Ovis aries: one gene and its partner. The main gene of each other region encodes a partner of the protein of the gene in region 2 in a complex. Links are inferred from orthologs where the notes say so. Each region holds a gene or a part of one and is shown on either strand. Other genes may lie near its edges.

What was found. Proteins that work in one complex are often made in the same cells at the same time.
Region 1: the proteins of AP3B1 (region 2) and AP3M1 are in contact, whole or in part, in a cryo-EM structure (PDB 9C5A), measured with the Homo sapiens proteins. The link is inferred for Ovis aries from reciprocal best matches to the Homo sapiens genes AP3B1 and AP3M1. Residues at the interface, in NP_003655.3 of Homo sapiens: Leu60, Lys64, Val67, Gly68, Ile70, Ala71, Lys72, Gly73, Ile92, Glu93, Lys96, Leu97, Val100, Arg104, Glu107, Asn128, Gln129, Leu130, Arg137, Arg143, Ser163, Pro164, Tyr165, Lys168, Asn169, His172, Gln175, Lys176, Leu202, Ser206; in NP_001307192.1 of Homo sapiens: Met1, Phe15, Leu16, Glu17, Trp20, Lys21, Ser22, Val23, Gln26, Val42, Glu43, Asn44, Val45, Pro46, Pro47, Val48, Ser50, Tyr55, Ser58, Ile59, Tyr60, Gln71, Thr72, Glu73, Val74, Pro75, Pro76, Leu77, Phe78, Ile80.

Annotation. Positions count from the first base shown.
Region 1 is NC_056078.1:29,207,361-29,212,450, reverse strand, and holds the end of AP3M1 (AP-3 complex subunit mu-1), read left to right. Parts: intron 1-1,214; coding exon 1,215-1,359; intron 1,360-1,828; coding exon 1,829-1,929; 3' UTR 1,930-3,903; downstream 3,904-5,090. UniProt on the Homo sapiens protein: Part of the AP-3 complex, an adaptor-related complex which is not clathrin-associated. The complex is associated with the Golgi region as well as more peripheral structures.
Region 2 is NC_056060.1:9,250,020-9,254,497, reverse strand, and holds part of AP3B1 (AP-3 complex subunit beta-1), read left to right. Parts: intron 1-2,238; coding exon 2,239-2,425; intron 2,426-3,394; coding exon 3,395-3,525; intron 3,526-4,478. UniProt on the Homo sapiens protein: Subunit of non-clathrin- and clathrin-associated adaptor protein complex 3 (AP-3) that plays a role in protein sorting in the late-Golgi/trans-Golgi network (TGN) and/or endosomes.

The DNA.
Region 1 (5,090 bases), on a different chromosome or scaffold from region 2:
AATATCTTGGTTGAAATTAAAGCTCTAACAGCCTAGAATGCAGATTGTGCTGTGCTCTGCCACAGGAGAGAATCTTGCATCTGCTGCTAAGTTGATGAGCAGAAAAGTGAGATTCATTCCTTCTTCCTTCAGAATCTGCCTTTTCTTATACATTGATAATCCAGAGGTTCACTAACTCTTCAATGAGGAAGATATAAAAACTTTTTAAAAAGAGAAAAGCATTATGTGCATATAATAATCTATTAATGGTTAATAGATATTACAGTGTATTAATTGTTAAGAAATTAAGATCTTTCTCTTCCTTTTTAATTTAAAAGCATTATTTCATACTCTTCTACAGAGGATGCTGACTAGGAAAGTTGCCTTCTCACCCTCTATATGTTTGCCTCTAGCAGAGGGAGTTCAGAGAAACTGTAAAAGCTGATTTTTCTCTCTGCTTCCTGCTTGGGTAAAGGAATGATTCTTTTCCTCAATAGAGTCATTGAGCTGCATAGTAAATGAAAAGTCTTTTTTTATTTAACTATAAAATCATTGAATGTTAAAGATCATCTAATCTATTCCTAAGAAGTCAAAGAATCTCCCCAGAGACCACACAGGGCTGAGAAATTAAGCAGGAGCTCCAGATCCCTAGCCTTCACCCCAGCTTCAACCATAACAGCTTTATTTTCTCATCTGTTACTGAGCTCCCTCACTAGGTATTTCATTTGAACAAAGGGTTCCATCACTAAAAGTTTAAAAGCACTGATTTAGGCCCATCTTCTCATTTTACAGAAAACTAAACTTAAGCCCAGAGAGAAACAGTAAAGATGGCATAGTGGAAAGGATGTTTGATACCAGATAGCCTTAGGGTCAAATCCCAACCTTTCCTCTAGCTATGTGACCTTCAGCAAGTCATCTGACTCCAGCTTTAGTTTCTTTGTTTGTCAAAATTAGACAAAGTTTTACATCACAGACTTCCGAGACAGCGTGAGAATAGTGCTGAGCACAGTATTATATCCAAAAGTAGATGCTCAACAAATGCATCTACTCCTTTTTTCACTCCCCATTCAGAGTCACAGAACTAACTAGTGGTAAAACTCAGTGGGAATCCCAGGTCTCTTATTCCAAGACACTGTGCTTTATTTTCTACAGAAGTTTATGGTCTTTGAACCTTGTCTTTGAACATTTGTCTTTAATAAATAGTTCAGAATGTTTTCTGTTTTTTTCTTTCTAAGGTACTAACGTGGGATGTGGGGAAAATCACTCCACAAAAGCTCCCCAGTCTTAAAGGACTGGTAAATTTACAGTCTGGGGCTCCCAAGCCAGAAGAGAATCCAAGCCTCAACATACAGTTCAAGATCCAACAGCTTGCTATTTCAGGTAAGGAGAAATTTGATGTGTGTAAGGGTTAACTGAGTTTTGCTGAGGTCAGCTGCTAGGAGCTTCGAAGAGTAACTGACATTCCGTCTCTTCAAAGAGCAACTACTCCAGTATGCCTCTCACTCTCCTTGATTTTTGAGAGTGATTTTGGAGAGCACCTTATTTCACATAGCTTCCCTTCACCCCTACCCTCATTCAGGCACAAAGAAAGAAATCATTTATACTCAAAGAAAGTAGAATTATCCTTAAAAGACATTGCTTGTCCATATGGGAATCTGAACTAAAATCATACCCTCCTAGTACTTGAATCTGTGAATGCTAGAAGGAACATTGCTTCCAGATCTTGAAATGGACACTGGCTAATGTCAGATTTACTGTATAGTAAACTGTTTCTTAAGCAAATATTGTACTGGTTGGTGTGACCAGGACTGTAATTTGTTCCTTTCCTTATGTGTTCTTTTTGACACAGGCTTAAAAGTAAACCGCTTGGACATGTATGGGGAGAAATATAAGCCATTTAAAGGAGTCAAATACGTCACAAAAGCTGGAAAGTTCCAAGTGAGGACATGAGAAGAGGCCAGAATTCCTGAAGATTTATTTGTTTTCCAGGCGTCATCACAATGTATTACTATTAGGTACCAATTGGGTGGGAATACATATTCTAGTTAAAGCATTTATGTCTAGCCACATACCGCTAACAGAGTTGCTTAGTTATCGATGCAGGGTTCTTAAGGAACTTTAAGCTAAGGAAACTTCTGAATGACTTAGCTTATTTGTACCTTGTCACTTAGGAAAGTTTTAGAGGTGATTTCCTCCATAGGAAGGCACCAGCTAGAGGCTGCACATTTTCACAGTCAAGGCAGAAGTCTACAGTGATAACCTCTCCCCTAAAACAAGTGAACCGGTCTCAGCCAGCAGACGCTGTCTTAGTCTGTAACGTGATGTATCAAGTGGAGCCAAGTGTCACACTTGATCGTAGCCATCCCCAATCATCTGTCCCAACAGAGGAATAGTTCCTCCCACCCAAGAAGTTTACAAAAAACTGCCTCTTCAAGTGTTTGCCTTATTCAGCTTTTCACTTGTGCCATTAAGCAAGCACTGTAGCAAAAGCCACTCCACATGGCCCTGGCAGGGAGCACTGCTGCTCCATGCTCCATTCTCACTGTACTTGGTATTGTATTTTTTATAAATAAGATTTTTATGTAAAGCTGATTTTGATTTATAGGGACCTTGCTGCAGGAAGTACACTCTCAGTTTTGTGCCACTTAGCTCATCTGTTAGCACAGTAAAAGTCATTTGTATCAAAGGGGCAAATGCTCTAAGGTAATAAAAGGGAACACTACTTCTACTTCTGCTTTTAGGAAGTTATTGCAAGCACAAGCATTTGAGATTTTGAGCAAACTAACATAGTAAAAGAGAAACTTAAGTGAACCTTTGCCGTCTTCATGTTTTATAAAGCTTGTCTGATACCACTTAGAACCAATTAGCCTAAAGCCCTCATGCCCTAGTTCAGCTAAAGGAAGAAAATGTGCCTGCCTCAATACTGTCAAATTATTATTTTTTTAATCTTTTATCTTTTTTCTTTCCTTTTCTTAATGGATTCAGTTTGCCTACATTCTTTGCTTTCAGGGGGACTCCCTTTACATAGTGTGTGCTACCCAAGGCTATAGTCAAAAGATTCCTCTCTGAAACTATTGTTGAAACTGTCACTGGAATACTTAAATATCTCTACTCTACTGACCAAGTAGGTGAAAGTACATATATAATAAGGCAGAAACAAAATCCTCAGTAACATTGATAAACCTGTATTGATCTTTGTGGTTGGCGAGTCAGCCCGCAGTTATCTTTTAACTTGGATGACTTAGAAGTCCTTGCCCACTTATTTTGGTTCATTAGACATGAAGAATAAAGTTAAGATCTAAGTGCTTGTTCTTGCTATTAGTTTTCTCCCTGTAACTCCATTCATTTTGTTCTTCTCAACTTATAATTCCCTTTCCCATATGCTAACAGTAGCCCTTCCACTCACCCCATTCTCCTGTCAAGGGCTGGTGGTTGGTGCTGATATAGGGAGCCCACTGCACAGCAGCATTCTTTGCTGCCTATGGCACCAAGCCTGCCTTCCATCTAATCTGAAAGATCACATTTTGCAGTTTATAGGACAACCAGTATCAGCTTGGCAGCTAAAATTAAGATGTTGCCAAATGTTTATTCCCTTTGCATAAGGTTGGTTACCAAGTTCAGTTGCTTTTCATTTTAATGTCTTCCTTTTCAGAGTTCATACCTCAAAAGAGCGATCAATACATTTGTTCTTCTTTCTGCAGAATCCCTCAACCATCCATATATGGACTAATTTTCTTTCTCTACTACCCTCCCAAATCCCAGCAGATTGTATGCCAAGAGTCCTTTGCCTCTAGTAACTTCTGCTAAAACTTCCAAGGAGACTGTTTCCTTTTATAATTAAATTATTGTATTTATTAATTTGATGGAATCCAGTAAGTCCTTTCTCCAGCTCTGGCTACACTGTCAATAAAAAGATGAAAGCAACAAGTTGACTTTTTTTAGCTTGACTGTTAATTGAGCATTCTCAGATGCACATGCCTCAGTGTTCAAATAGGCTGAAAATGAAACTCGCTCCGTTGTGTCTCTTTGCAACCCCATGGTATACAGTCCATGGAATTCTCCAGGCCAGACTGGAGTGGGTAGCCTTTCCCTTCTCCAGAGGATCTTCCCAACCCAGGGATCAAACCCAGGTCTCCCACATGGCAGGTGGATTCTTTAGCAGCTGAGCCGTGATCCCGTTTTACCCAGCATCATCACACGAGGTGTGAAGGCTGCAGCAAAGCACTTCCAAATGCTCCTCTCCTGACTATGTTAATAGCCCGTATCTAAGATTCACCCTTCCAGCCCAGACTGAAGAAGTGATCGGAGCTCCTCTCCCTACCACCACCTGCTGACAACTAAGATCCATGAGTACTTAATCATAATGAAGTATTTTTCAAGTACAGAATTCCAGATAGTTCAAGAATAGCTTCTTGTTCTAATTCTTAAGGGAGTATAACCCAAAAGCTTATTTTCTGCATAAAGGAGTCACCATCATTTTATTCAAAGGGAGTTCATGTGATGGGTTCTCTTTAAGTGCCACTGTAGAAGAATCCGTGGAAGATAGTGATCCTGTAGTCCTTTGAGTCATCTGATTTGAGAAGAATGAGAATGCAGGAGGAAGGCCGTACCAGTGAACATATGGTGAGGAGCAAAAATGAGGCCATGACTACTGTTTCCAGATATTGCTGAGCTAATTCAGTAGCCTTGGACATTGCCCTGTAAGTTGAACACCCAGAATCTGCCTCCCTAGTCAGCAGCTTTTCTAAGTTAAAGCAGTGATAAATGTAGTCAGCAGTCCTCTCCCTCTTTAGTGATATTTGGATCTAGAAAATCAATCAAAAATACTGATGTCCCAGCTCCACTTTAAGAACCTGTTCCTACTCTTTGAGCTTCCTCAAGCAAGAAGAGGAATATGTCCCCAGAAGCTAGCTCTGCCTCACAGCCCTGTTTGGATCCCTAGACTTCAGACTCTGACATGTAGACTCGCAATATTCCTGCCCATGTAACAGCTTTAGCTTCTTAGAGGATAGTGATGGCCTCCACATACAGCTGGACTCTTCTAAGACAGACTCCTTCAACCAGGGGATGGTCTGTACTGTCTGCCTGCTTTCCTCCTCCTGTTAGCCTTG
Region 2 (4,478 bases):
TTTGCAGTAGCTCAATTTGATGAAATATTAAACTATAGAGAATTATTCAAAAGTTTTATCTCATAAAGATAGTTTTGTTGGAGGGAAAAAATTTAAATATCTAGGCTTGAAATATTTACAAATTTTAACATGAAAGCATTGAGAGTATCCTTTATTCAACAGAATTTTTTCTATGCTTATTGGACCATTCAAACTGTAAAGAGGGCACTTTCTCCATTAAAAATATTAAGTTCTATAGCAAAGAATAAGTTGCAAATGTCAGTACTTTCATAATTAGTGATCATAAAGTTCCATTTTGAAGATAATTCCATTTTGAAGACATAAAATTGTATTCTTTAGATAAATACCAGTGACTTGGTTTTAGAGATAGAGCTAAGAAATTGATTAAGGTATGTGAATAAAGAGGTATGTGAGTAAATTAATTATTCTGTTTATGTTTTTAATGTATCATGGGACCTGGATATGTTTTTATCTTTTAGAATTTTAATTTTGAAAATACACGTGCTATAATTATTTCATAACCCACCAATATAATAAAGCAAGTTTTATAGTCAATAAGTGCATATTATGGAAATTATATAATCTTAATAACTTAAAATTTTCTGTCTCACTTTAAATAGAGTCAGTTAATATTTCAAATAATTAACTTCCTAAAACTTAATTTCAGAGACTAGAAATGAAAGCGGGATGAATCACCCCACTGGCTTAAAAAAGTGCTGCAGTGAATAGGCTTTTTAATCTGATTTATTCTAGGTGCGTATTCTAAATCCCAGCATTCAGATATACTGTAGAGAGTTAGCTTCGTTATGAATTCTCACTACAGTTGAAGAAACTTAACAGTAGGATGTATTTTCCAGGTTATCTCAGCAAGTTGATTGCACAGTCCAGTGTACCTTGGATTGACCTGGGTTATTCACTTGGTGACTGTTTGGCTGATTGTCCTTAAAAAATCAATCATAGAAATTTTCTTATGTGTCGTTGAACCAACCTAGTCTAGTAATTAGTGAATAGCAGTTGTTGTTAACCAAATTTAGAATAGCTCTATTAATACTTTTCATCTGTATTTTTTGTAGTTCTACTTTAGTAAAACTAGGTTAATGGTTTTTAAATAGATTGTTGCTGAAAGAAGGTTGCTTTCTATCCAAATCAATTATCTTAATGAATTAATATTGTAAAAGAGTTTGCCACACCATTCTTGTATCTTGACTTGTTGGTTTAGAACTATCTTCAGCTCTGCCTGACTTGATGGATTTTATTGTCTTTAATCCATTTCTGATGTCTATAAAATGTTCTAAGGTAGATGTTTATTTTTTCCATGTATTATGAATCCTGTTTATGGTTAGAATTGTATACGTGTAACCTTCTAAATTAAAATTATGCTTTTTCAATAAAGTAATGAGTTGAAAATACAAACCTTATTTTGTTAACATTTCAATTTTGGTTTAATTATTATTAAAATTATCTCAATATATGTTAATGTAGTACAGTCAAAAATTGACTTAGGAAATCTTATTAGAGTGTAAAAGCTACTATAATAAGTTGTTCCCTAACATAAATAAATAAATGACCAATATTACTAGAGGCCATAAGCAATATGGGGGAAAAAATGGAAGGAGTCTTTTATCCTAGTTTTTAGAGGGCATCAGCAGCTTGCTTTTATGAAAAAGTAACAGCTAAATGCACTGCAAATAATTTGCAGTAATCCAGTTCAGTGATTCATGTGTCTGCTTTAATGGGTCATAATTCAGGGTAAAGTAACTGAGTGCAGACACTGCTTATGCCGGGGACAGTATCTCTTCATAAAGCACACCTCAGGAGAAGCAGTTTGCCAGCCCCCTAATGCTCTCTGATGTTTTGATGTCCTGCATATTTTTCCGATTAAGTTTTGAGTGCCATGTTTTTAGTTGTATTTCCACATTCATTATTCTCACGTAGACCCTTCAGCGGGTTTGCCATATATGATTATTTTTTTAATGATGCCTTTCTTTCCACTTCAGCAGTTTAATAATCTAGCACATGGCTGCTTCTCAGTGCTCAGCATTCACCTCCCCAATACTGAAGAGGACATGTGCTTTGGCTTCAGAATTCCATTTGCAGTGTTAGAAATGCATATTCCCTATGGAACAACATTTGTTTGACATAACCATTCATTTTTATTACCTCTTTAAATATGTTTATCCAGAGTTATCAATAATCATAAATAACTGTATTCTCATCTTGTTCTGTTTTTTCCAACAGACAAAATTGCTTACCCAGTACATATTAAATCTCGGCAAGTATGATCAAAACTACGACATCAGAGATCGTACAAGATTTATTAGGCAGCTTATTGTTCCGAATGAGAAGAGTGGAGCTTTAAGTAAATATGCCAAAAAAATATTTCTGGCGCAGAAACCCGCACCACTGCTTGAATCTCCTTTTAAAGGTATTATTATCAGAATATACCTACAGAATATTATATGTTATCTTAAAAATTATGATATTATATCCCACTTCTAACATGTTTAAAATTTATCTCTTAGAAAATATGTGATTAGTGTGTATAAATATATAAATACGAAAAGTGTGCTTTCTATTCATTCATCTCTTCTCCGAAACAAGCTTTATATTAGTTCAAGTTTATGTTTTTATAGGCCTTATTTACCTAAATAATTTCAGTCTTCTGGCGTTTATTCTTACCAAATGACTTGACTGAACAATAGATGAAAGCTGTGTTGTTTTTGCAGACATTGACTTCATTTCTGGTTTAAATAGATAGCTTTGTTTAATAAGGGATATATAATTCACCTTAATAGTGAGTTATTAAGTATTTTGTGTACACTAACATAAGCTTTTCCGGAAAGAATTATTTCATAGAAATATTCCTTTATATTTGTTTGCTTTTCAGAGATGGAAATTGACTTATTTTCCCCAGCTTTTTAAAAGGAGTAATTTATCAGTTTCACAAGTAGCCATTACAGTAGGAATCAAATGATTATATACTTTGGTTTTCATATTGTTTCTTATTTAATTGTTGTAAAGGGATAAAAAGCAGTTCAGTTTTGTAGTAAAACTATTAAAATTCTGAATGTGTTGGTGGCAAGACATGTATATGGATTGTTTAACTGTGCTGTCATTCTTAATATTCACAGTAAAGTAATTTTTAGAGAAGCTACATATCAGAGCAACACCTCTAAACACACTGACTGATTAGCTTTTTTATTGACCATTATCGGGGAGATTATTGTAATCTATGGACTGAAATCAGTTTTTTTGACCTGTGAAGAATTTCCTAGTTTATATTTATTCCTTGACATTTGAGGTAATATGCCAATTACCTTGAGCTCTGATTAGGATTGTTCTCTGTTATATGCAGCTCAGATTGTTTATTTTATATTTTCCTTTATTTTAATAGATAGGGATCATTTCCAGCTTGGCACTTTATCTCACACTCTCAACACCAAAGCAACTGGGTACCTGGAATTATCTAATTGGCCAGAGGTGGCGCCTGACCCATCAGTTCGAAATGTAGAAGTAATAGAGTTGGTAAGTTGACCTTTCTGAAATTAATTTTGTCAAGCAGTAGGAGATTCTAGGATAGCTGCTGTTTTGTATAAAAGCTTTTTTTGGGGGGTGGAAAACTTGTTCTGGTATTTCTAAATGTAATGTGTTAGATATATCTTGCTGCTATGGGAACTAAATATTGTAGTATTCCTATGTCATTGTACATGTACTGTTCCTTTTCTTCAAGGAAATAGAGAATTGAATTCTCTGCATCAGTGCCACCCACATTTGTGATACTGCATTTGTAGCTGTGCAGATTCAATTTCTAAGGTATTTAGTTTCATTGAGTTGAGCTTTTCCCACTTAGTTTAGAGACTCATAAGCTTCCTGTCAATATTTTCCAAATCATTTTTGCTATCTCTTCCAGAAACCATACAAAGTGTTCTTTTGGCTTTTCTGAGGAACCTTTTTCACATGAAGCCAAATATAAATAGGAAGCATTATGTACCAAAAATATCCTTGAACAAGGTCACAATTAATGAATAATATATGGCTTCACATTAAAAAAAAAGGTCTCTGTATAAATACTCTTTTCCTAGGTCTTTATAACATGCTGGCCACTAAAATAAGAGAATTGATGTTCTTTCCTAGTATTATCTCTTTCTTTCTTATAAACAAGAAAAATAAGGAGAGGGGTCTTCTGATTGTCTTTAGAGATTGATTATGTGAAATGTATCTGATATTTTTTTAAATAGAATTAATAAAAAGAACAATTATGTATTACATCCTGGGTGCCTTTCCAGTACAGCACATATGCTGAACTAGGATTCAGGTAACTAGTCTTTATCTATAATTCCTATGAGAAAGTCAGTTAATCTTCTTGCCTACTGACTTTTCCCTTTACAATGGGGAAAAAACTGTCTTCCTTTAAATAGAAGAATTCCGTACCCACACTTTGCAGCTTGTAGCGTCTTAGTTCCCTGATCAGATATTAA